Struthio camelus: one gene and its partner. The protein of the gene in region 2 interacts with the protein of the main gene of each other region in a biochemical or structural test. Links are inferred from orthologs where the notes say so. Each region holds a gene or a part of one and is shown on either strand. Other genes may lie near its edges. The genes, in order: PLEKHA1 and SNTG1.

What was found.
Region 1: the proteins of SNTG1 (region 2) and PLEKHA1 form a complex in vitro, tested with the Homo sapiens proteins (2 studies listed by BioGRID and IntAct, with this or other methods). The link is inferred for Struthio camelus from reciprocal best matches to the Homo sapiens genes SNTG1 and PLEKHA1.

The regions. Positions count from the first base shown.
Region 1 is NC_090948.1:5,750,416-5,761,757, forward strand, and holds the start of PLEKHA1 (pleckstrin homology domain-containing family A member 1), read right to left. Parts: upstream 4,595-11,342; 5' UTR 4,328-4,594; exon of another isoform or gene 3,936-4,327; intron 1-3,935. UniProt on the Homo sapiens protein: Binds specifically to phosphatidylinositol 3,4-diphosphate (PtdIns3,4P2), but not to other phosphoinositides. May recruit other proteins to the plasma membrane.
Region 2 is NC_090943.1:139,607,291-139,618,260, reverse strand, and holds the start of SNTG1 (gamma-1-syntrophin), read left to right. Parts: upstream 1-6,521; 5' UTR 6,522-6,647; intron 6,648-7,353; exon of another isoform or gene 7,354-7,587; intron 7,588-7,635; exon of another isoform or gene 7,636-7,867; intron 7,868-10,970. UniProt on the Homo sapiens protein: Adapter protein that binds to and probably organizes the subcellular localization of a variety of proteins. May link various receptors to the actin cytoskeleton and the dystrophin glycoprotein complex.

The DNA of each region.
Region 1 (11,342 bases), on a different chromosome or scaffold from region 2:
TGTAACTATTCAGATTTTCAAGGCAAAGGCATATGTTCAAACCTGAAATTGGTTTAAACTGTTGAATGCCACAAACGTCTACCAGACCTACAACTCCCTCCTTGCGCAGATAACATCTGTTAAAAGTACATGGCTCATACAGTTCTGCACCAGAAAGCTTAATAAGTTCCTTCTCCAAGATTAAAGAAACACCTACACATTCTAGATGCTTCTGCAAGTCCCTGGAGGGAGAAAACGCTGCTTAGCGTTGAGACAATGAACCAAGCTTCCTTCCTTTACAGTAACAAAATCCTGTTGCTTTACCTAGCACTAACAGGAAGGTGTTATTTATAAAACTGAGTGGTATACAAATACATATCCAAGCGTTTCACAAAGTAATGCTACAGCATATAACGGGAAGACCTTAGACTTAAAAAAAAAAAAAAAAATCCAGATTTTAAAAATCTGGATTTTGGACATCAGTATGGGAGTAGAAAATTCTTTGAAATAGCTCACCCATATCTCTCATTCCACTTTATTTCAGTCAATTTACCCATGAAGGCATACCTTCAAAACTTGAACAACTGACACTTGTTTCTCTGATCTCTCCAGTAGACAGTTTCTTAAAAATAAACTACATTTATTTCTACATATCTGGTAAACTCACCAGAATTGATATTCATGTTCCTAATGTAATTTTATAAAGCACTGAGAGCAACATTTCCAGACATGTCATGCTACAGCTAGACATAAACCGAGAGAGAGAGAGAGAGAGAGAGAGAACTGACCATTGTACCTATTGCATAATTTGTTTCCTAGTGACATCTATTTCCTCCACTTTGTAAATTACATTTTAATGCTAAAGTCAGTTACCTAAATTCCCATATTCTGGCAGTAAAGATCCATAAGTTATTATCCTCTAGTTTCAGCAATTATACAACTGCACAAATACTAATTTGGCTCCAAGCACCAGGGAATATTTTCTAAGAACATTTTCTGTTGTTCTTAATTATCAAGAAGAAAACATTTCACAAAAAAAAGACACATTCTCTTGCTTCACAAGCTATTGTTAAGTCAAACGCTGACATATAGCTGCCTATGGGAAAGTGCACACCTCCACGTGCAAGGAAACTTCTCAGTTTTAAGATGTACTCGCTCCAACACTTCTGGTTTGCTGCAATTTGAAGGAACTACATTTACTATGATAGCTGTCAGGTCTAATAACCAAGAACACTCAGTAGTAAAGATACTGATGGAATTCTAAAACTACTAAAATAGATGAAGAATTTCACAGGCCTGGCAGTTTGGGCTATGCTCAACCCTCCACTGGAGACTGTATTGTAAGTGCATTATCTGTTCACATTTCAGTAATGTCCTAAAGTTATTTTTATTGACTGTCACAAATTAGAAACTGACTTTTGCACTTCCTTTCTTTCACGCTAACATTGTGACATATAGTCAGCCTTTATTACTCCTGCTGATTAACCTCCTTGCTTTTTGAAATAAGCCACAACCACTGAGAAAAAACACAAAGCTTTTTCTTGCATTCAAGTAATTTCCTAATATACACTCTTTCCCTATTTCCAGGTTGGTCTCTGTCTAGTCTCTCTCAGTTCCTACTGCTGAGAAAGAACAAATACAGGGAGAGAAGAGGAGGAAGAGGAAGAAGCATTAAGATGCTTCCGATTTTCTTTATACATTGATTCTTTCCCCAATTACTATTTTTTTGAAAGAAAAAACTCTAAACAAAAAAACCCAGCCATCTACAGACTTTTTTTCCCATGCTTTAATTTATACAAAAGCATCTACTCTTCTGAAACATCTAAACACTGCAATATACCTCGTAAGCCACCTACTGCATATCATTTTCTTAACTTCCACTTTTGAAATGCACACCTATAGGTGTGTGAATATTAACCACGGTATATAACATATTAAATTGTAAAGATGAAGAATATTTTTAAGCCGTTTCAATTAGGAATTAACATTTCTATGCTAACAAAGTAAACTAGCAATCTTTAATAACTGCAAGCAGAACACAAGGGACTCATAAAAAGTTTTTCTACGTTTTATGCCAAGCTGTCTCCAGCAGGCCAGCACTCACTGAGATCATGCTCATAATTAGGGTATTAACCTAATTATGTAACACACAGAATAGTACCGTCTATTGAATTATCACTTTCTGCAACAACAACGCTTATTTATCCCTGAATTATAAGGCTCTTCTCCAAATATCAATCAGGTTAAGAGAGGCACTTATAAAGACAGATTTTAGTCCACTTTTAACCCAGCTAAAGTGTTAACCTTTCAACACTCACTGGTGTGACAAGCAAGAAAGGACTTTTACATTTCTCTACTTTATAGACTTGACAGAACTTCACATGCCGTTACTTGTGTGAATCTACTGACAAGGAAAAAAACAGATCTAGAAGTAGGAAACGAGACTTAGTGAAAAAGCTATGAACTGCAGGGACTTAAAAGGCAAATCCACTCTTCAAAACCCAGTGTTAAGACTTAACTAGATTGCAGTGGGTACCCTGTGAATTTATCCAGCATGGAGCTTCATGAGAACAAGTGACACAACCTAAAGAAAGAATTCTTCCTATACCTAATGGCATATATACTAAGACATTCTCAAGGACTATGGAATTCATTTAAAAGTTGTACCTGCACCTCAGTTTTGACATAAACTGACATAAGACTTCGTTATTTCCATAATAACTTTCAAAACTCAGGTACAAAAGAAAAAGAAAAGATCTGCCTTAGAAGTACAGTATAGTAAGTTTATTAAAACAGGCAGAAAAATTAAACGATCATACAGCAACCAGCTGAAGTTGCCAGGCACAGCTCCCACTCAGTAAAGACCGCGTTTGTGCTGCTTCATAGTGAACACAGCTTAAGTGTATAAAAAGGAAGTGGATAAAGAAAAAACAACAACAACCACCACCACCCTGCTAGATTCAACGATTCAAAAATGCAAAGTTATTTCTGAAATCTCATAGGCCCAAACTGTGTGATCAAATATGGCTCCATCTTCCACTACAACATACGCAATTTGTAGGCAATAAAAAAGCAGATGCAGCACAGATTACTATATGCAGAAGAACCTCATAATCTCTTTCAAAGTACCCTGCTTTTGTAGGAAGGTGAACCATGAAGAAATCCGGATCTTAAGCAGCTAAGAAAATTACTCTCTCAACTTTACTCTCAGATAAGCAATGGCCTTATCTCCATAAGGATCGACCTAACAAATTAATAACTAAACTTTTTACCCACTTGGAGATAAACTGTTCTGTTCTATTGGTTTCACTAGTGTGGTGATTAGTGAAAATTAGGCATAAATTTAAGAAACAGAGGCCTCAAAAATAGCAGCCTGTTTCCCAAAGAGAAAATGATGTCCTCTTAATGTTAACAGGCAAACGTTCCCTGCAAAAATATGCCTTTTATAAAGGCTATGCATTAATTACACCTGTGGGAACCGCAAAACACATATGATATTTAAGTCTATCTGATCAGCTAATAATCAAATGCATGTTTGGAATTTCACACGTGCTGAAAACTGTAAATATGACGAAATTAGCTACAGCTTAACAGCCGCTTATGGCCAAGTTATCCATTTAAAGACACATTGCTTCATTAACTAAGCAGCCCAGGCGACAACCAAGCAGGAACACCAACTCAAGAAGTGCAGGTTTGTATTGCAAAGGCATCAGAGAACAGCTTCCTCGAGCACGCTCTCCTCCCAACTAGTGTCCTCTACACCTAAAAAGCCAAGGAGGTGCGAGCTGTCCCGTGCCCCCCGCCCCGCCCCCGGCACCACCACCACCACCACCGGCGCTGCCCAGATAAAGATCGCTCCTTCCTGTCATGCTCAAAAGACCGAAGTTGAGAAGAAGAGGAGGAAAGTAAATAAATAAATAAAGAAATAAAGATGGGTAATGAGATCATCCTCTTACCTCTGGGGATGTGACAGAGCCGGGGAAATTATACCGCAACCTCCTGTACGCTTTCCCCCTCCCCCCTCCGCCTTGGAGAGTCCCCCACGCTCAGGCAGTTATTTCGAGAGAAAAAGGAGGGAGGGAAAATAAAAAAAAAAAATTAAAGAAAACCCAAAAAACAAAGGAAGAAGGGACAGAAAAGGCATGAAACAATTATGACGCGGGGAGCCACACAAAGGCAGAGGCGTTGGAGGGAAAGGACAGTGCCCGACTTGGTCAAACATCGAGGAAGAGAGGAAAAAAGAAAATAAATGAGGTATTTCCTCCGCCGGGCCGGATCGGACCGGACCGGACCGGACCAGACCGGGCGGGTCTGTCCCGTCGCCCCCGGCCGGGGCCGAGGCACTTACTGGAGTCCAGGGCAGGTCCGGGGAGCCCCCGTGAGGAGAGCCGGGCCGCGCGGGCACCGCCGCCGCCTCCCGCCGCGCTCCCGGCCCACGGCGCGACACGACGCGACGCGACACGGCGCGACACGACGCAGCGAGCGGGCGGGAAAGCGGCCTCGGCCCCCTCTGAAGAAACTTTGCCGCCTGCCCCTGCCGCCGCCGCCGCCGCCGCCGCCGCCGCCACCACACCGCCCAGGCCCCCGCCCCGCCGCGCGCATGCGCCACAACCCCGCCTCCTGGGCGGCACCATGCGGCCGCCGTACCGCCCCGCCGCAGGGCCTCCTGGGAGGTGTAGTGCGGCGGCCGCTAGGCGCGGCCCCGCGGAGCAAAGCATGGCGGGAGTTGTAGTCCCGGGGAGGCGGGCGGCGGGGCCTGGCGGCGCGGGAGGCCCGGGGCGGGGGAGCAGACGAAGTGCCTTTGTGGCGGTGCAGCAGCACTGAGGCAGCGACAGTCCCCCGCGGGACGGCTGGTGCTTCGTGGCACCTCCAGGAGGGCCGCTTGGCCCCTGGGTCGGGTGCGGTAACCCGCCCGCCGGAGCTGGTGCGCTCGGCTTTTGAGTGCTGCCACCAACGCTAGCGCGACCTGCCTCCGGCGTCATTTTCAACATCGACTCGTTCCCTAGACCTAGCGCTCCGAAAAGAGGCCAATAGTTTATATCCGCTTAGGTCTAGTACCATTAAAATGCTGGTGGTGACTTTGTCATTAAACACGTCAGTAAACAAACTTGTCCCTGCTGGGACGAGTAGAGCCGGCGTGGGTGTCACTGGAGTCAGATGGCCGTCCGGGCGCCGGGGCCTCGGCCAGCGCTGGGGTCACGACGGGGAGCGGGCTAACGGCTTCGGCGCTGCCCGAGTCCGAAAACCAAACTCCCAAAGCGCACGCGACTGAAATGAGTGCGCGCGGTGGCTCCTTCTGCCGCAGGGGTTGGATAACTATTCATCCTGAGCGCAGGGCCTGTAGGAGAATAACGTAAGGCAGTCACACCTACTACAAAATCGTTAAGAGTTTGCGATACTGATAAACGGCTGGCTTCTCTCCTGTGATTTAATGGTAACGTTTAGGTAGCCCTAGCACCTAGAAGGCTCAGCTAGGTCAGACCCCTCTGCAGAAGGAACTGTCGGTAACGTAGCAGAGCAGTAAGAGATTTAGTTTCCTGTTTTTTTTTTTTTTTCATGCTCGTGAGCTTAATTCATATGGAGACCTTACTACGAGCTCTTTCAGAGCATAGTTAGCAGCAACCAGTAGTTACGCTACTTAGTACTGTAAATACCTTTTTTTTAGTCTTCTAAACGGCAGTGAATAAATCCTCCATCCTCTAAACAAAGAGGTGAAGCACCTGTTTAAAACAATTATGGAGCAACAGGGAGGTGATACACTATATGTGTTTAGTTTTGTGGCCAGCAATACGCATTGATGTCTCTCACAAGAGAGACATTCCTTTCACAGGATAGAAATCAGCAGTCACTGGCTCCTGTGGTTAGAAATGCTATAAATAATATTGACAGCATTTTGTGAGGGGGGAATCCAGGCAAGGAAAATGCAAGGCTTCAGCATCAGGTGCAATGGTGTACTGACCTCCATCTGCTTTGGACCAGACTCTCTAAGAGTCCAAGAGTTCATGCAGCTAAAAGGCTGTTTTCAAATTAATGTATAAGCCATACACGGGGTAAAGTAGCAGCTACCAACAATAACACAAATACTTTTTATAAGGCTTATAACAATTTTCTATGGATTTGTTTGAACATGAAGTTAATTTGATTTTTATATTAAATTTAATGGAGAGAGATCTGAAGAAAAGGAATGAACACCTTGGAAGTATGGAGACTCTGTTCCTCTATACCTGTCTTCTTCCAGAAGACTTATTAGTTAAGACAGCTTTCTGCAGCCATCGTGCTCATAGTGGCCTACAAAAATGTCTAGGAATGGTATTTAACCATTTCTGAACATACGTAGTTCACTATTAAAAACGAATAGTAAATTTATACTAAAATATTTAGTGTTTTTCAAAATAGTAATAGAGAAAATCTTCTTCCTAGCTTAAAGCAGTGATATCTCTAAAATAGAATTTATTTGAACTTAGATGTTGCATGTAAATACATCTTTGTTCCAAGGTGCTATTTAATAACGGTACTTTACAATGAAACACAAGCTGTAATGAGAGTACAACAATCAAAGTTGGAGTCAGCTATGAACAATGCTTTACGATTTCCATCGTAACTTTTTCCTATCACATCCTTCATAGGTCACACACTCTGCAGCTGTGTGAGCTAGAAGCTTTTCAGTCTGTACTCCATTCACAATTATTCATACATTTTTGAAGATTTTTTTGAAGATAACAGTGCTTTACTGGAGTTAATATAAGACAATAGACAGTAGCCGGCCTGATGCTGTCCCTCCTCCGCTTAGGACCTGATTTGACATTTCTGGTACTCACAGAACTATCATGATTGTGGTAATTCATAAAAGGACTACAGGATGTGGCCTGCCGTTGCACTGTGCACGGAAAGGGCCTTTTGCAAAAAATGATAGGAGGCCGTGCGATCAAAAGCCATTTCATAACATGTGCAGAATGAAAACGGCATAGCATTCTACAGTTTGGAATGTCTTAACTTTCAAGTACTTTCTCCAACCTCCCAAGGAAGTTTTCAATATCAGAATATATTGTGATAATGTGATTTAGGAAAGGGGGGGGAAATATTACATTTAAAAGGGGGATATATAGTATTAGACTCTAGTAGGAAACTTCATATTTAGGATAGCATATGTTGCATGATGGAAGACTATTACAGTCTTCCTTTTCAGAAGCCCTATCTCTTCTGGTGTTTACAGTCTAGTTAGGAGAAAATCATATATATAAAGACATGTCTTTGCTTAAACTGAGATACAAACTTTTAAAAAATAGCCAAATGCCTTATATCAGGTGCACTGTCCACAAAAGTACCAGAATATGCATATGGACATTCTGCTTTGTGGAATCAAGAGATAAAGAGCTCATCTGTGGACGAGTGTGAGATGGAAAAGCCAAATGTCACCTACACCCATCCCTGTGTACTGAGCATGTAATTCTGTTTGCACATATCCTCTCCCCAGACATGTAGACTTTTGAATGCTTTTAAAATTGACTCTAAACCTTTTTGTATTTCATCCCTGTAACATTCAAGGAAATATTTTTATAGCAATGGCTAACTGCTTTCCTGAAATGCATCACTTTGGAGCTGTGTTTAGAATGTGTGTATATTGATCTCTATGCTTACCATAAATTTGGTAACATCCGGTCAATAATAAAAAGCCTTCAAGTCAGCGACTGTGCGTCAGATCCTTGAAGTCAGTATCATTGTGCTGATTTAAAACAAGCTCATACCTTGCTCAGCATTTTCTTGTTTGTGAACATTTAATCCAATGGGTACAAGTGCAAAGTACCTACTGGGAGTCTCTATACCTACTGTAAAATAAACATGAACTATTACAGTAATAACTCAGACCTCCTTGAGTAATCATTTTCCTGTTGACATAATCACTGAGTTTATTTTTTTCTCTCCCCATTGCATTGGGACTGCTGTTTATTTCTTCCTCCCTACATACTACCAGGCTGATGACATGTCCTTCTCAGCTTCTGAGAGTGTTGTGCAGATACACCAGACTGATCCTGCTCAGGGCTAGTGCAGGTCCAGCAGAGTGGCTTCACCCCATCTATAACATACTACGTGGGTCAGGCTTACTTTGCTAGTGGGGAACCTCTGCCATAGTTCTTCAAGGTACTGACGATGGCTCCCCGAGATAACAAAGCCTACCTTTAAAGCTTCCCTAAATTGGAAGATCTTTTCTTTTGGCTAGACTTTTGGTGGAGATTACGGTATTTTGCCATGGTGGGGATCACCAGCAACTCGCAGTGACTTCATCTGGGTGTGAGCGTAATGTAGTGTAGTGAACACTTTTGAAAATAATTACCTGGTTCATTCTGCTTGTACCCAGATTCAAAGTACTAGAAGCCACCTGATGCCCTGAAGGACTAGATGAAAAAGTTATATCTGATGATTCTTGTGTGGAATTTTGGCCATGAGAAGAAGTACTCATGCAGCACCTGATCCCTGAAGTGCAGAGGCTCTAACATACCTGTTTGAACTGCAACGGGACTGAGCCCAAGCTCACAGTTTTTAATAAGTCCTTTTAACTTTACCCGCTGTTTTCACATTGTGATTATAAAGGATCAGAAGAGATCAAGAAGAATGAAGGCAAAGATTCTTTTCCCCATGAGTTACACGCATTGTGCAGGTGGTCACAACAGGGTGTATCTCCAAACTAAACCATTTAAGTATCAGTCTTTGATGTCAAAGACCACACCATGTGTACAGAAACCTAAATATAGTCATCTCTAATCCTCTATTTAAAGCAAGACTTCCTTTCAGTAGGAAGTTTCTGATTGTGTCAGTGTTACGGTATTGTACAGTACACTACTGGTATACAAATTACTGAGAGCTCAGCTGAGCTCATAGACCTAGAGGCCATTCAATATTTTGATGATTCTTTTCTATGAAGTATGCAAATTTAATGGAAAAAAGAAACTGTAGCATCAAAGTAAACAGGTAAACTTCAGATATGAAGTGATTCTATCACAGGTGGATATTTTCCAGTTATTGCAACATCAAGTTTATGTGCAAAGATTAGGAAGAATAGGATCTATATTTTTACCTACCCTGAAACTTCTAGAAATTTTCAAGAGTAAAGTCTGCGCTGGCTTATGCCACATGCAATGCTATTGACTTCAATTTAGAAATTGGCTCAGAGCCCGGTATATTCCAGTAGAATTGTAAGACAGGCACTTATTTCCTCTCCAGCTGTCTCTATTCATAGTCTTCAAAAGCTGGCAGGTACTCTAACAGCGGTCTTAATGCTTGTGAAAAAATATTGACAGACTCCTTTTGTACTGATCTTTTACTCAGAAGTTGTTTGTGATTCTTGTCACTGAAATGGAAAGCGGGTTTCCAGTTACTCAAAATGAAGCCTATAATAAATAACATTTGTTTAGTGGCCTGCGTTATTATGCACCTGTAAGAAGAAGCACATGGATTGACAGATATAGAACCATATGTACTTTTGTTTTCTAAGCTCACAGTTTTTCCTCCTCTGAAGTTTCTTTATTCCATCTGTAGATTTTAGGGGTCCTTTCCTATTTTTCAGGGTTATGTTATTCTCTAAAACCCCAGTTTTAACTGTCATCTTTGCTTAGAACAGGATTTTGTTTCGCTTGGAAGGAGACTTGCTATGCAGTAGCAGGTAAAGGTCTGCCCGTTCCATTCTTTCAAACCATTATGTTTCCTTGAGTCACTCCACCATTATTACGTCAATACGTCTGGCTGGTGGACATTTATTCTAGGTAAAGAACGTTGTGTTATCTCTGTCACTTCCACTCTTTGGGCTAAGGAGAATACAGAGCCTTAAACCAAGAGCTTTATGATTAAAGCTCTGCTGCTTAGTAAATAGATTCAAACACTATCCTTGGGTGAGGAAGATTTATTGAAGTCCAGACATATGTCATTCTCCTAAAAATCAAAGTAGCAGGACTGATCTAAATATTACTTTCCTCTTTTACACAAGGCTATTTTTGACAAGAGTAAAGAAATTACAGCTTTCAAGGGAAGTTTGCTGGAAGATCTCATTCTGATGTTACAGTCTTTTTACAGCAGTGCCATTCCATTTAGTTCAAGTCATGTTGTTCATGACTTACAAGTGCGATCAGTCAGACGGTATGAGTGAATGCTCCAGGCTGCTTGTACCATGCAAAGCCGTTAAACCCCCATATTCACCTGAGTGAGTCCCAACCCAAGTCATGACCCCTGAAGAGCTGCCACAAATTCTGCCACTCCCTTTGAATCAGCCTGCAGTCAGAACAATAACATAATGGTTTAATGTGCCCACTGATCTATACAGTGCTTCTGTATTTAAAAAAATAAGGGTATTTTATATTAATATAATTTCCTATATTTTTCTCATACTTAATTGACACATATCCCACACTGTTATCCATATGTTTAACTGTAACGCAATGTACTAGTGAAGTGTTTATTTCAGAAGGTATGAAAACTTCTAGTAGAACATACAGTTATTAATACCAAAAGAAGCGACATATTTACACATATACACAAATATACATTTTTTTTTTTACATATATATATGCATCACATATCCTGGCAATGAAACAGAAACGTTCAGCAATGCCAAAATATCATGATTCTTAACTTTTCTAATTGTATTTTCAGGATGGAAAATTTTTTCCAGCAGCGGAAGTTCAGCAACTTTATGCATACACAGAAATAAAGAACTATGAACAAAACCTCACTTCATTGCTATGAAGGAATTATTCTGCCTTAGACAAAACGTTTTTGTTAAAACTAACAGTTATGTTACAGTGGAAAACAGGAAAAAGCCTGGCCAGTGAATTACTAAGTATACAGCAAAATGCTCTCACTATATTCTTTTTTTATGGGTTCAATATTGCAAATTCCATCCACATTCAGTAGGCCTCCTGTGCACTATTTTAAGAGCAGTGTTATTGAAATCAATGGAACTACTTTTCCTAGAGGTTATGATCAGCTGAGGTTGTTACTCTGCTGAGCCCTCCTGTGTGTCACAGCCTATCACCTTTCACCTAACCACCTCAGTATCAGCATGCAAGGAAAGCTTCTCAGTCATTAGGTTTTATCATAAAGGACCAATGTCTGAGTCTTCTGCAGTGGTATGGCATTGATTAAGTAATAAATATCTAATTATTACAGCAAATAAATTATTCTCCGTTATGTAGAAATAGACAAAAGTTCCCCAAAGTTCCTGTCAAAATGACCTTGGGAAAAACCACCCTTTGTATCTCAGATTTGTTAATCGCTGTGACCTCAAACATGTGAGCAAGATACTATCTAAGAAACAAGATTTTCTTTTCCACCTCAGCATACACTGTCACTCATCTCCAGCTATGGACAGTTTC
Region 2 (10,970 bases):
AGGGTTAATAAGATTTCTGTTATTGTTCTTCATCTCATTTTAATCCCTGGTCTAGTCAGGGAAAAATATGGCAACCAATTACTTTTCTGATAGACATCTACCCAAGGAAGCTTAAGGCTAGGGACTGGCAGTACTGAAAAGAGAGAGATGTCTACACAGCATGAGGCAGAGGGTGAGCAAAGACTGGAGTCACTAGGAACTCAACTAATGACAGAGTGATGTGAGTAAGAACTGGCATGTTCAGCTGTTGGCACCAAAGTGTCATGGAAGAAGTACACAAAGTGCTGTCAGGGACTATTTCACAGCTGTGAGTGACAATCCATAGCTAGGAGGGAGAACAAACCCATCAAGAGTGTCTACATGCTGGAAGAGCAATGCTTATTATTTAGTAGTTAAGAACCTGGAATATTTGCCTCAGTTAATGCAGGAATACCATGGATCATATACTGCAGTAACTCTGATCTGGGGTCAATTTCTTCAAGAAACATCTGTACATGGTGCAGCTCCCACAGCCCAGATGGTTTCCCCCTAGGGTTTGGCATAGGTCATGCATGCAAACCACAAGCATCATGGTAGAAAAGCTACTCAGATTCCACAGGACAGTCAGACTAGGTCAGGTTCAACGTACTTTCCTTTGCACTTGTGTCCAGGATCAGCACACAGTGTTCACCCTTCCATATATACACATATCACATGTTCCTCACACTAAGAGATACCTATGTCCCCTTCTTCTGCAGTGAAGCAGCCGTTGTCTCCATTTACAGCAAGCACTGAATTCATCCTGCAGTCCTTTTACAGATGAAGAAGTTGCTGTCATATGACTGAGGAGGGGGAATCAAAGCTGCCTCTGCTATTGAAGGTTTGGAGGGATGCAGTGATGGCTCCACCCAGGAAGGCTTACCTCATTTATACATAGCCAGAAGCAGCCACAGAAGCAGCTCCTTTTTATCCCCTCTCCCTGACTTGGGGCTATGAATGAGTGTGAAAAAATATTGAACTGTCTGGAAGCATTTGCTGATTAAACAGCTGTTGCTCCCTTCAACATCCCACAGGCAAACACTTGGGCCAGGCTGAAGATGCCGGGGAGACCATGGTCTAATATCCATCTATCAGAGATTACCTATAACATCCATAATTTTTCACATAAGTCTGTTTACCTTTTTGCAGAGTGGTTCATTTTGCAACTTTTGGGCAAAATTGTGATTTTAATTCCACCCACAGAAACTGTCTCAGGTGTTCACCAACACTTCCTTTAATTCCAGGAACATAGTGCTCATTTTATAAGCTATGGTTGTAGCCACATAGAAACTCACACGCTGTCAGTTTCACTTCAAAATAGTATAATCCATTATATTATTTGCAGATGACATTCCATATTTGAATTCCACTACCACATCTTTTAACTACCACTTTAAACACCACGAAGCTAATAGAAATAAAACTGTTAAGTTAGTTGTTTTTAAAGGATACATGCATTTTATCACTTATTTGGTTTCCAAATGGAAAAACAGTTTTGAAGTTTGCAATGTGTAAAATTAATTTTTAAGTGCACAGAGGGTAATTTTATCTTCTTTTGGTGAAGAAATAGGATAATTGGAATAATACTGAGATACGTTTTTGTAGTGAGGATAATACAGAAAAATGAAATTGATAATTTTCTTAGATGTGACTAATTATAGCCTGTGAATTGTCACTTGTCCTTTCTAATTTGTGATAATTGATTATAATAAATTAATTACTAAGATAGATAACAGATAATTTCCCTAAAACTGGTTAAAATCCTTCGTTACAATGTTATCGAAATTCTCTTATAGGTTAAAAATAATCATTCATCAGATGCCTGCCAATTATAGACTGGCATAAATAATAACAGTACTGAACATGATGTAGAGACGGCCTATAAAATTTGGGATTAAGGAAAGAGTTTAAGGCTATGAACTTCACAGCTTCTTTGAGGTTTTCTGCTATTTGGTTTCAACATATGTGGGTTTAAATTCTCCAAGCTTTGGGATTATTTGAAAAGCTCAGAATTTTAAAGAAATATTCATATGGAATTGCTAATATCCTGTTTACATGTACAAAGAGGGATTTTAATGAGTTGCAGTCAGAACAAAACCCATGTCTCTGTCTGGGCCTACATGAGTTTGAGTTTTAAACGGATTCACAGGAGCTCTTGAGAAACAAATCATGGCAGCAAGGAATATTATAGAATATAGCTGCAGTTTTCTGGCCACCCACAGAACATAAAGGCTATTTTGGTCTCCACCATTCCTCCAGTCAGATTTTAAGATTACAAGCCATGGTGACAAATGACACACTATTTTATATAAGTGTGCCAGATACTGGTACATCACTTTCCATATTTTCTTGGAGTTTAGTTTAATCTAGTTGCGGGGGAACAAGAAGGAATATGTTCATAGCCTTTTCTGGACTAAACTGGGTGAATTAATACTAGTCTATGAGTAGAATTTAAAAATAATATTAACTCATCAGAAACTGGAAATTTTCTCTAAATTTCTACTGCAATATAGGGAGTACCAGGAGCTTGATGCTCATAGATGGCCTTGTGACCTACTTATTATATAGCATGTTATACCCATTCTTGAGGGAATTACAACAGCCATATCTTTTTCCGGAAGTGGATATTGAAAATATATTAATTCTATTCTGATGGAAAAAGAAAATCTCATCAATGCTGTGAGTTTCACTTCAATTTGCCTTTTGATATTCTGCTTAATGAGATCTTCTTATAGGCTGGTAATATCTTTTTATTGAGTATTTATTTTCATGTGAATAAATAAAAACTGATACTTTCTAAGAAATTTTGGGGTCTATTTAAGATACTTTGTGACTAAAACCAAAGCTGCTTCTAAATGAACAGCACCCATGCCTCAGTTTCAGTTTCAGATTTTCATGCTCAAAATGGGGGAATACCTTGCCTTCATTTACAGACTGGAATGTATTTGATACAGCTGATGGCTTCAAACTGATAAAGAGCTAAGTTCTGTCAAGGAAAGAGCATATAATGGTGGCTAGCCATGGATGTTTTAGCAGACCTGCTAGGACTTGCTACATGAATGGATGCCCCCTAACTTGCACTGGTTTTGGATAAAGGTCTCTCTTTTTTTTTTCCTGATATAATGATGCGCCTGTAACTTCTTTTTCAGGCCCTTAGTTCTTTCTTGTTCACTTCCCAGCTCTTTCACAGTGAGGAGTTACATGCCACAGATATAGACACAAACGTCTGGCTGCCAGATGTCAGAATCACTGCCCACAATCAGAGTGAAATATCCTGTAACCAGAAAGATTGGGTTCTGCTTAGGAGAAAGAGGACAAATAGCTGCTCATAGATAGATAGTCAGTACTGTTCTACAAAGGATGTCACGACTTTCTTGTTGAGTGACATCCTTCCCTCCACCCCCACATCTTTTAGCCAATACAATTTGCTCTTCATCTTTATCTTTTATTTCCTCCATTTTAACTCTCTTACTCCTCTGTCACCTCATCCCTGATGGACACCTTGAATGGTGCCAGTTGGCTAAAGCTGCACAATCTGCAGCAGAAGCTACCACTAGTTTATGTCATACCATGTAATATTTTCTAGTAAACACTGCCAGTAACTACACAAAAACCCTTCTGGGTCTCCCAATCTGACTTTAAATGTTGACTCATGTTCTTGATTACTTTCTAAACCTGTATGAAATATGAATTTTGTGTATGTAAGAATCCTATGCTGTGTTTGTGCTGCCTGAAGCAAAAATGTAATACAATACTAATCTTCTAATATTATGTAAAACTGATAGTCACACATACTTCATACAATCATGTGAAATCTGCCTGATAATGTTTTTAAAAATTGCACACTTTTCATCTGCTTTGGTAGAGTTTATCTTCAGCATATTCTTAATGCTAATAAAACTTTTAACTGAGATATGCATGTTTTAACAAGCATGGGAAGAGCTTGAAAGCTCTTGCAGCAAAAATTGCGATAACTTTCTCTTGTGAAAATAAAACTGTCTTGCTTACATAAGCAAGAGTATCACTCTACTCTTCATCTTCACATAAAAGAAAGGTAACAGGTCTCTGTTAGAGATGACAGTTCTTCCTACAGCTAGGAGGAATATGGCATGTATTGATTAATCTATATCCAGGCTTGCGAGTTTTAAGGAAAGGTGATTTCAACAGCTGAGGCTGTCACCGTTGGAACTGCATCAGAGCTATCCCAACAAGTAGTATTTGCTCCAGCCAGGGTAGTTAAGAGATTGTGAAGGATCATTCATATCCACTTTATTTAAAAACTGTGCTCTGAGGCCTTTCTCAACAAAGCAAGAGCAAGGATGGCTGCACTTCTGCTTTACTTCTGTGTTTGACTCAGACGAGTTTTCAGTTCACTAAATTTCACTCATTATTTCAATTCTGAGAGATACATGTATTAGGACTTGGATGGTAATATATATAGTTGCAATCATTTATTTTTTCAGTCTTGTCAGGAGAACTACCTGTTCAAACCATTCAATCTGCGGTAGAACCGGAATAGGACAGATAGCTTGGTTAGCTTGTAGCTATCAAGAAGTCTGTTAACATCAATCATTATTAAGAAATAGGGAAAAACAAGAATCTGTATCTCTAGATGAGGACCCAAGTACAAATCTGTTCCATTAGCCATGAAATCCATCACTGCATATTCTTATGCATTTATCAGCTGCACTCTTCAGAGCAACTCTATTATCTTTACATTTAGCTTGTATGGAGCTGTCTTTTTAAAATCTTTTCCCCCTGAATAGCTCACTGCACATTACTGAAGTTAATATTTATAAAAGGAATTCATAAGGAACAAAAAGATTTTTGTTTGCCCCAGCTTGGCAGAAGAAGACTTTTTAACCATAAAATGTAGAAAAAATAACTTTTCACTCTAAGAAGCCTAAACAACTGTATGGAGGAAAAATGCTCGAAGAGGAGCTACACAGAAGCAAAGCTAAATCTGCTTTCACTGGACGTGTAATTTTGATCACCCTCCCTGAAAATCTCTGCTTGACTAAAGAATAACATTTCCAAGAGCTAAAACGGGGCCCAGAGGATACGGATAAGGCAATCTAGCGACAACAACCAGCCTGGCCCGCTCTGGGGGCCAAACTTAGACGCAGAAGAGGGTCCCTCGGCTGCACCCGACGCTGCCACTTTAAACCGTGGGATTTATTTTTTTTTTTTTTCCCTGCTTTCGTAGCTCCACATAGCGTCGGTGGGATGAAACGAGTCAGCTCCGCGCGGCCCCGTCCCGCCGAGCAGAGCGGAGCGGAGCCCCCGCGAGCCCCCAGGCGCGGCGCCCCGGGCTCCCCCGAGGCCACCGGGGGGGGGGGGGCAGGAGGAGCTTGCTGCTCCCCAAAACCGGCGTGAGGGAAGCAGGCGGTTAAGGGACGGCTGCGTCTGCGAGGGGCCCCGCGGCGCTCTCTTTCCTCCCGTTTTAATTTTCCTCCACCCCCACAGCCTTTGCAAAGGCGGGTCGGTGGCTGGCGGCCCCCACCCCGCGGGCCCGGCTCCCCCGCACTGGCAGCGCAGACGTATACGTGCGTATAATACACCACAGGGCGCGCATATATGCCTATATATATATGATCTGCCACGTTATGCTATATCATTTCAGCACTCTCCGACGGGTGGGGTGACTGCTGTACGGTCTCAGTGAGCTCCGGCTGCGGGGCTGCTTGCCAGCTGTTGGAGATAAGCAAGTGCGAAAGCGCAGGGCTGCGGGTGCGCAGGGGATTTAGGGATGCGGGGTGGAGCAGCCCCCTTTGCCACCTGCTGCTTGCCGGGGGTGCTGCGCCGGGGTGCGCCCGGCTCCCTCCCGAGAAGCCCCAGGTCCTGGCTCCCTGTGGAGGAAGGAGCCCAGGCATCAGCCCCCTCCCTCGTCCCTGCAGTCCTGGCACAGCAGCGCTGCAGAAACCCGCATCCTCTGGATCCAGAAAGGCTTTGGCCTCTCAGTGATACTCGATGTCCAACACAGACACCAAGTGGTTTATTCTTCCCTCCCTCCCTCTTTCGCCTGTCCCTCCTCCTTTTTTGTCCCCCCCCCCCCCCCGCCCCAAACCCAGCACGGACCCTGCTTGCTGCCATGTTTTAGCCACTTTAACTTCCAACTCCTCTGTTGAAACAAAATTAGATGACCCGTTGACCGTGGCTCCAGGACAAGGGGATGCCGAGGCAGCCCGGACACGGTGTGTGTGGGGGGGAAGCCGTGCTCTCCCACTTGCTCCCCCCTGCGCCGCCCCGCAAAACCAGCTTGCAGGGAGCTGCCAACCCCGCGGGGGGCTGCGGGCCCCCAGGTGCCGCTGGCAGCTCTCCGCCCGGCGGCGGCCGGGCAGGCTGCAGGGGCGGGACGCGGCCCCGCCGCCGCCTCCGACGCCCCCTTCCCAGCTGGGGAGCGCTGGGCGCCGCCCGCCCCCGCGCGCTGCGGAGCGGGGACGCGTTCTCGCTCGTTTCTCATGTCTTCATTTGGTGAAAAATTAAGCAGGGCATCGTTCCCTTAGCAGGTGGGAGAGCGACAAAACCCAAGCGACATAGCCCAAAATTAGAGGCTGGCAGATTAGGAGGGATTACTTGACCGAGGGAAGATGGTAGCATCTAAAAAGAAAACGACTCTGCCGCTTCAAGTGAGTCTGTCAAAATAAACCGCACACATAACTGCTTCTAAATAAGGGGGTTGATATGTTATATTTTCCGTCTGGCAAGCGATCAATATATACCCACTCGCACAGTGAGGAGAAACCGCATCCAGTGAAGTTCAGCAAGAAGAGGGGCATAATAAGGCGGAGGTCAAAAAACTTTTCTGCCTGGGCAAGGCAGAATTTCTCCTCACTGAGAACTCACAGGGGGGCAGAGGGATAAGCCGTGACCGGGGGGGGACTGCGTTTCGGCAGCGCGGGGGCCGGCGGAGGGAGCGGGGTGGGGGGAGGGAGGAGGACCGCACTTTCCCCGCGGTGCCCCGCGCAGCCGCCCCCTGTGCTGCCTCTACTTGCGGCGCGGCGCGGAGCGTAGCGGCCCGCTCTGCCGCCGGCAGGGCCGCGGCTCGCCGGCTTTGCTGGGGGCGGCCCCGGGGCGGTGTTTCGGAGCGCCGGGGGTGGGGTGGGGTTGGGGGGGGGTCCCGAGGGCGGGCATCGCCGCGCCGGGCTGCGGCCGCGCTGGCGGCGCCTCTTCGCCTCGCCGCGCCGCGCCTGGGCGCTCTCGGCCGCGGAGGGGCGGCGCTGCCTAGCCGCGCTCCCCCGCCCGGTGCCCCCGCGCCGTCTCCGCCAAGGGCGCGGGGAGCCCCCTCGCTGCCGCCGGCGCGGCGGCGGCCGGGTGAGATGCGGCGCTAGCGGCCGCGAGGCGACGCCGCGGGCATCCGAGCGCGACTGGCCGGGGGCTGCGGCGGAGACCATGGGCGGCCGGGTCGGGGGCGCGCCGGCCGGGCTCCCTGCGCGCTCCGGCTGAGCCCGGAGATGCCCCGGCCTTTTGGGAAATATTTTGGAAATCGCTCGGAGAGGTCCGAGGAGGGCGAGCGGCTCTGCGTTTCGCCAGCCGAGAGGAGGTCGCCCGGCGGGAGCACACAGGCAAGTGAGTGTCGTTTTTTGTTGTCCTTGCGCTGCATGAACGTCATCTCCAGTGACTTTTTTGCAGCTTTGGGTTTCTTACTCGCGGTTTTGGAGGCAGCGGCCCCAGCTGCAGTTTTGGCTCTCCGGCGTGTCGGTGCGGGAGGTTTGTGGTCGAGGTCGCAGCGGCGCCCGGTCCAACTCCGGCGAAGTACGACGAGGGCAGCCGTACGGTGCAGGACTTGGCGTGCACAAGCGGTAAAGCGCAGCGCTGTAGTAATCCTGTGCTGCCCACTTCTGCACCTGTAAGAAATGATGCATTATATGTGCTAATATAAAATGTCTTCTGCTTTGTGCTAGGCTATAACTTAATTGCAGGAGTCCCTTTATTGCTTTCCAGCAGTGGCTCTTGGAGGAGAGAGGCAGGGTATGTGTGTAAGCATATTTCATACCCATCTATGGGTTAAAATAGTGAACCTAGAGAGTTTTGATTTTTATGCCTTTACTTTCTTGTGTCCTGCCTGGTGATTTTCTTTTTCTCTGAGATGCTGTTGCTGTGAGGATGTGGTTTCTCCAGCTTTGTTTGTTTGCTTTAGCACATGGATTTTTATTGCTCTACTTGTTATTGCTGTGAAACAAAAAGTTGATTTCAGTATATCTCAGCACGTAGAGCAGACACGGGACTAATTCTGCTCTTGGAGGAACTCCGCTTTGAAGGAGCAGACCCATAGGGCTGTAATCTCTTGCTAAAAACTCAAAGATCTCTAAACAGGGTAGTCACGCTGAAAAGAATGAATTCTCCTGGTCACCTTTCAGCACGCATAGTGTATGAGCTAACCAACCTGCCTGCTCCTCTCTATGAAACATCTGTCTCTGAAAGGTAGGGGATAAAGAGGATTCATAAAGTGAATTCTGGACAGGTTTGGGAGAAGACAAAACTTCAGACTGTGTTTAATTAAGTTTTCTCTTATTGATTTCCTTGGTGTCTTCTCTATGAGTCTAAAAATGACAATCTTTTACAGTAACCTTGATGTACATCCTGGTCTAACATGAAAGCATCACAGAATAAAAGGAGTTACACAGATTTATAGCTGAGCTCTAGCATTTCACTAAGAACTCAGTTCCAGTGAACATCCTAGTTTCAGCAGAGACACTGGGCATTATGAGTGAGTGGACTTGCGGAAATAACTCTGTGATAGTGATAAAAGTATAAGGTGCAATGTTGGAAGCATATGCTCCTGCAGAAATATCAAGGTGTGTGAAATGTTTGTTGAGTTTTGGATATTTTCTTCTCTAATCGAAGAGAACTCTGGCAAAAAGTGTGTGTGGGGGGGGTAGTGGGGGGTGCTCAGAGCTTCCCAGGTTAATGCACTTTGATTTGCCTGCACTTGTTGGCTGGGAAGCTGTAAGGAAGGGATCTTCTTATGGACTGAAACACACACTTTACATGAATGCGGAGTTAACATAATAGGATTAAAAGGCATTGAGTTGGCAGTACTGAACGTGTAACTTGAACGAGTTACGCTTGAAGGTGCAACTAACTCAAGTTTATAGCAAAAAGTAAGCCTTTCCCATAATAGTGGATGAAGTTCACTGTGGGTAAGCAGTCTGAGAGGAATGTCACTTTGTTTCAGTGCAGTTTCAGGAGAGCTTTGTTGTGGTTCATATTCCTGACTGTGAAGATACTGTGAAAAGCAATTAAAATAACTGTTGCTAGACACTGGGGCACAAACCTGTCCATTATTTAAAGCATTCAGCTTCTTTTTGCGGCTTATCAAAAAAATCTGTATCTTTTATCAAAGTGTAGCTATGGACTTATTGTAGTAATTCCTTTCTCTGTTGCAGAGTGGCAGGCTTTCACTAAGTGTGTGCAAGAGAGATCATAAAACACTGACGCATGCACTGAGCTGGAATTCATTGGGGCTATACATTACATTGATGGTTTACAAAATTAACATAAGTAACTGCTTATACCTGATTATACAGATAAGTGGTTTTTGAAAATTATATCAGCTTTGCCGGTTCTGATGCAAGTTACAGAGCCCTTTTCTTCCTTTTCTTCTTAGTCCTTCAAACTAATCTAATGCTATACTCTGTCTTTGCCTGGAGAAGAAGAAAACATAATTTAATGATGCATCATTTGGCTTTTGCAGTATCTTGTCCCATAGCTATGAGATAATCCAATGAAGGTCCTTGTCACTGAATTAAAGAACATGCTGCTCTAGCCTTTCACCTATAGCCAGTTTTTCATTCTGCTTTATGGCCAAAGAACTGAGTTTTCACTGAGTCTGGTAGAAGAAAGAAACATTTCTTTTTCTGTTGAAAATTTGAAAAGAAAGGGGAAAGAAATACCTGAGTTCTTTAAGGAAAGAACTTGCTTACTGTAAGGCTATTCTAGTATTTTCTTTCATGTTCTGTATCCTAGTTTACTTGTATCTTTTGTATCGGAGATTGCCAAAATACACTATATTCAACTTTATGGCATGTATTTTTATTTTTATACTATGCAAATTAATAGAGAAGATGTTGATTTGATTTAGAAAGTCCAGGGCAAGCTTACAGATTGCATTCCTTTGCTAATTTTGTTATATCTGCTCAGGCATGCTGTTTGGCTTGCCAGATATAACCTTCATGAATTGACAAAATATGTCAAGCTGTCCAGTCAGTACAACAGAGTTGTCTGAGTCACTATTCATTCATCTTCAATCAAATATTAAAAAAGTAGTCTGTTCTTGACTCTTCTTCACTCTGAAGTGCTTGAATAAGTACCATTTCTTCATGCTCGTAATTTAGTACTGGTCTTTGTGGCTGAGCTACTGGGAAAACTGTGATACTGTCAAAGGCTAGTCATCACCACCTTTGCTTGCATACATTGTTTAAAAAGGTAAGAAGTGGTAGCAAGTAAGAAGTGTCAAATGGATTTAATGTATAGTCTTTCTTATCCCTTCTCATGGCTGTACTTTCAGTTCAGGTTACCAGAGAGAGGATTAGATAGGCTGAATCCCAGTTTGTCTGCTGCATCAACGCATACGTCTGACAGTCTGAGGTGACATCATCTCAGCATGGTTACACACCTGACTTTCTGTATTTGCCCTGAGTTTTACCTTCCGTAACTGGAAGAGTCAGAAAGCCTTACTGTCATTGTGGCCAGCCTAAATTTTCTGCCTTTCTATTCCAGGTCAGATGAAGGAGAGAAAGCACATGTATTGGGGGATGGGGGGGAGAGTATAGATCATATCTCAAAGATACAACTGGAACCAACAGGAGCAAATGTAATGGAGGCACTGTCAGTGAAATTTGCATGAATATTTAATTTTCAAAGGGAGGAATAATCCATCTAGAGGGAAGGATTTAGTGAGTGATGCGTCTACTCTTTATGAAGAAGAGGAGCTATGTAATACAGAAACA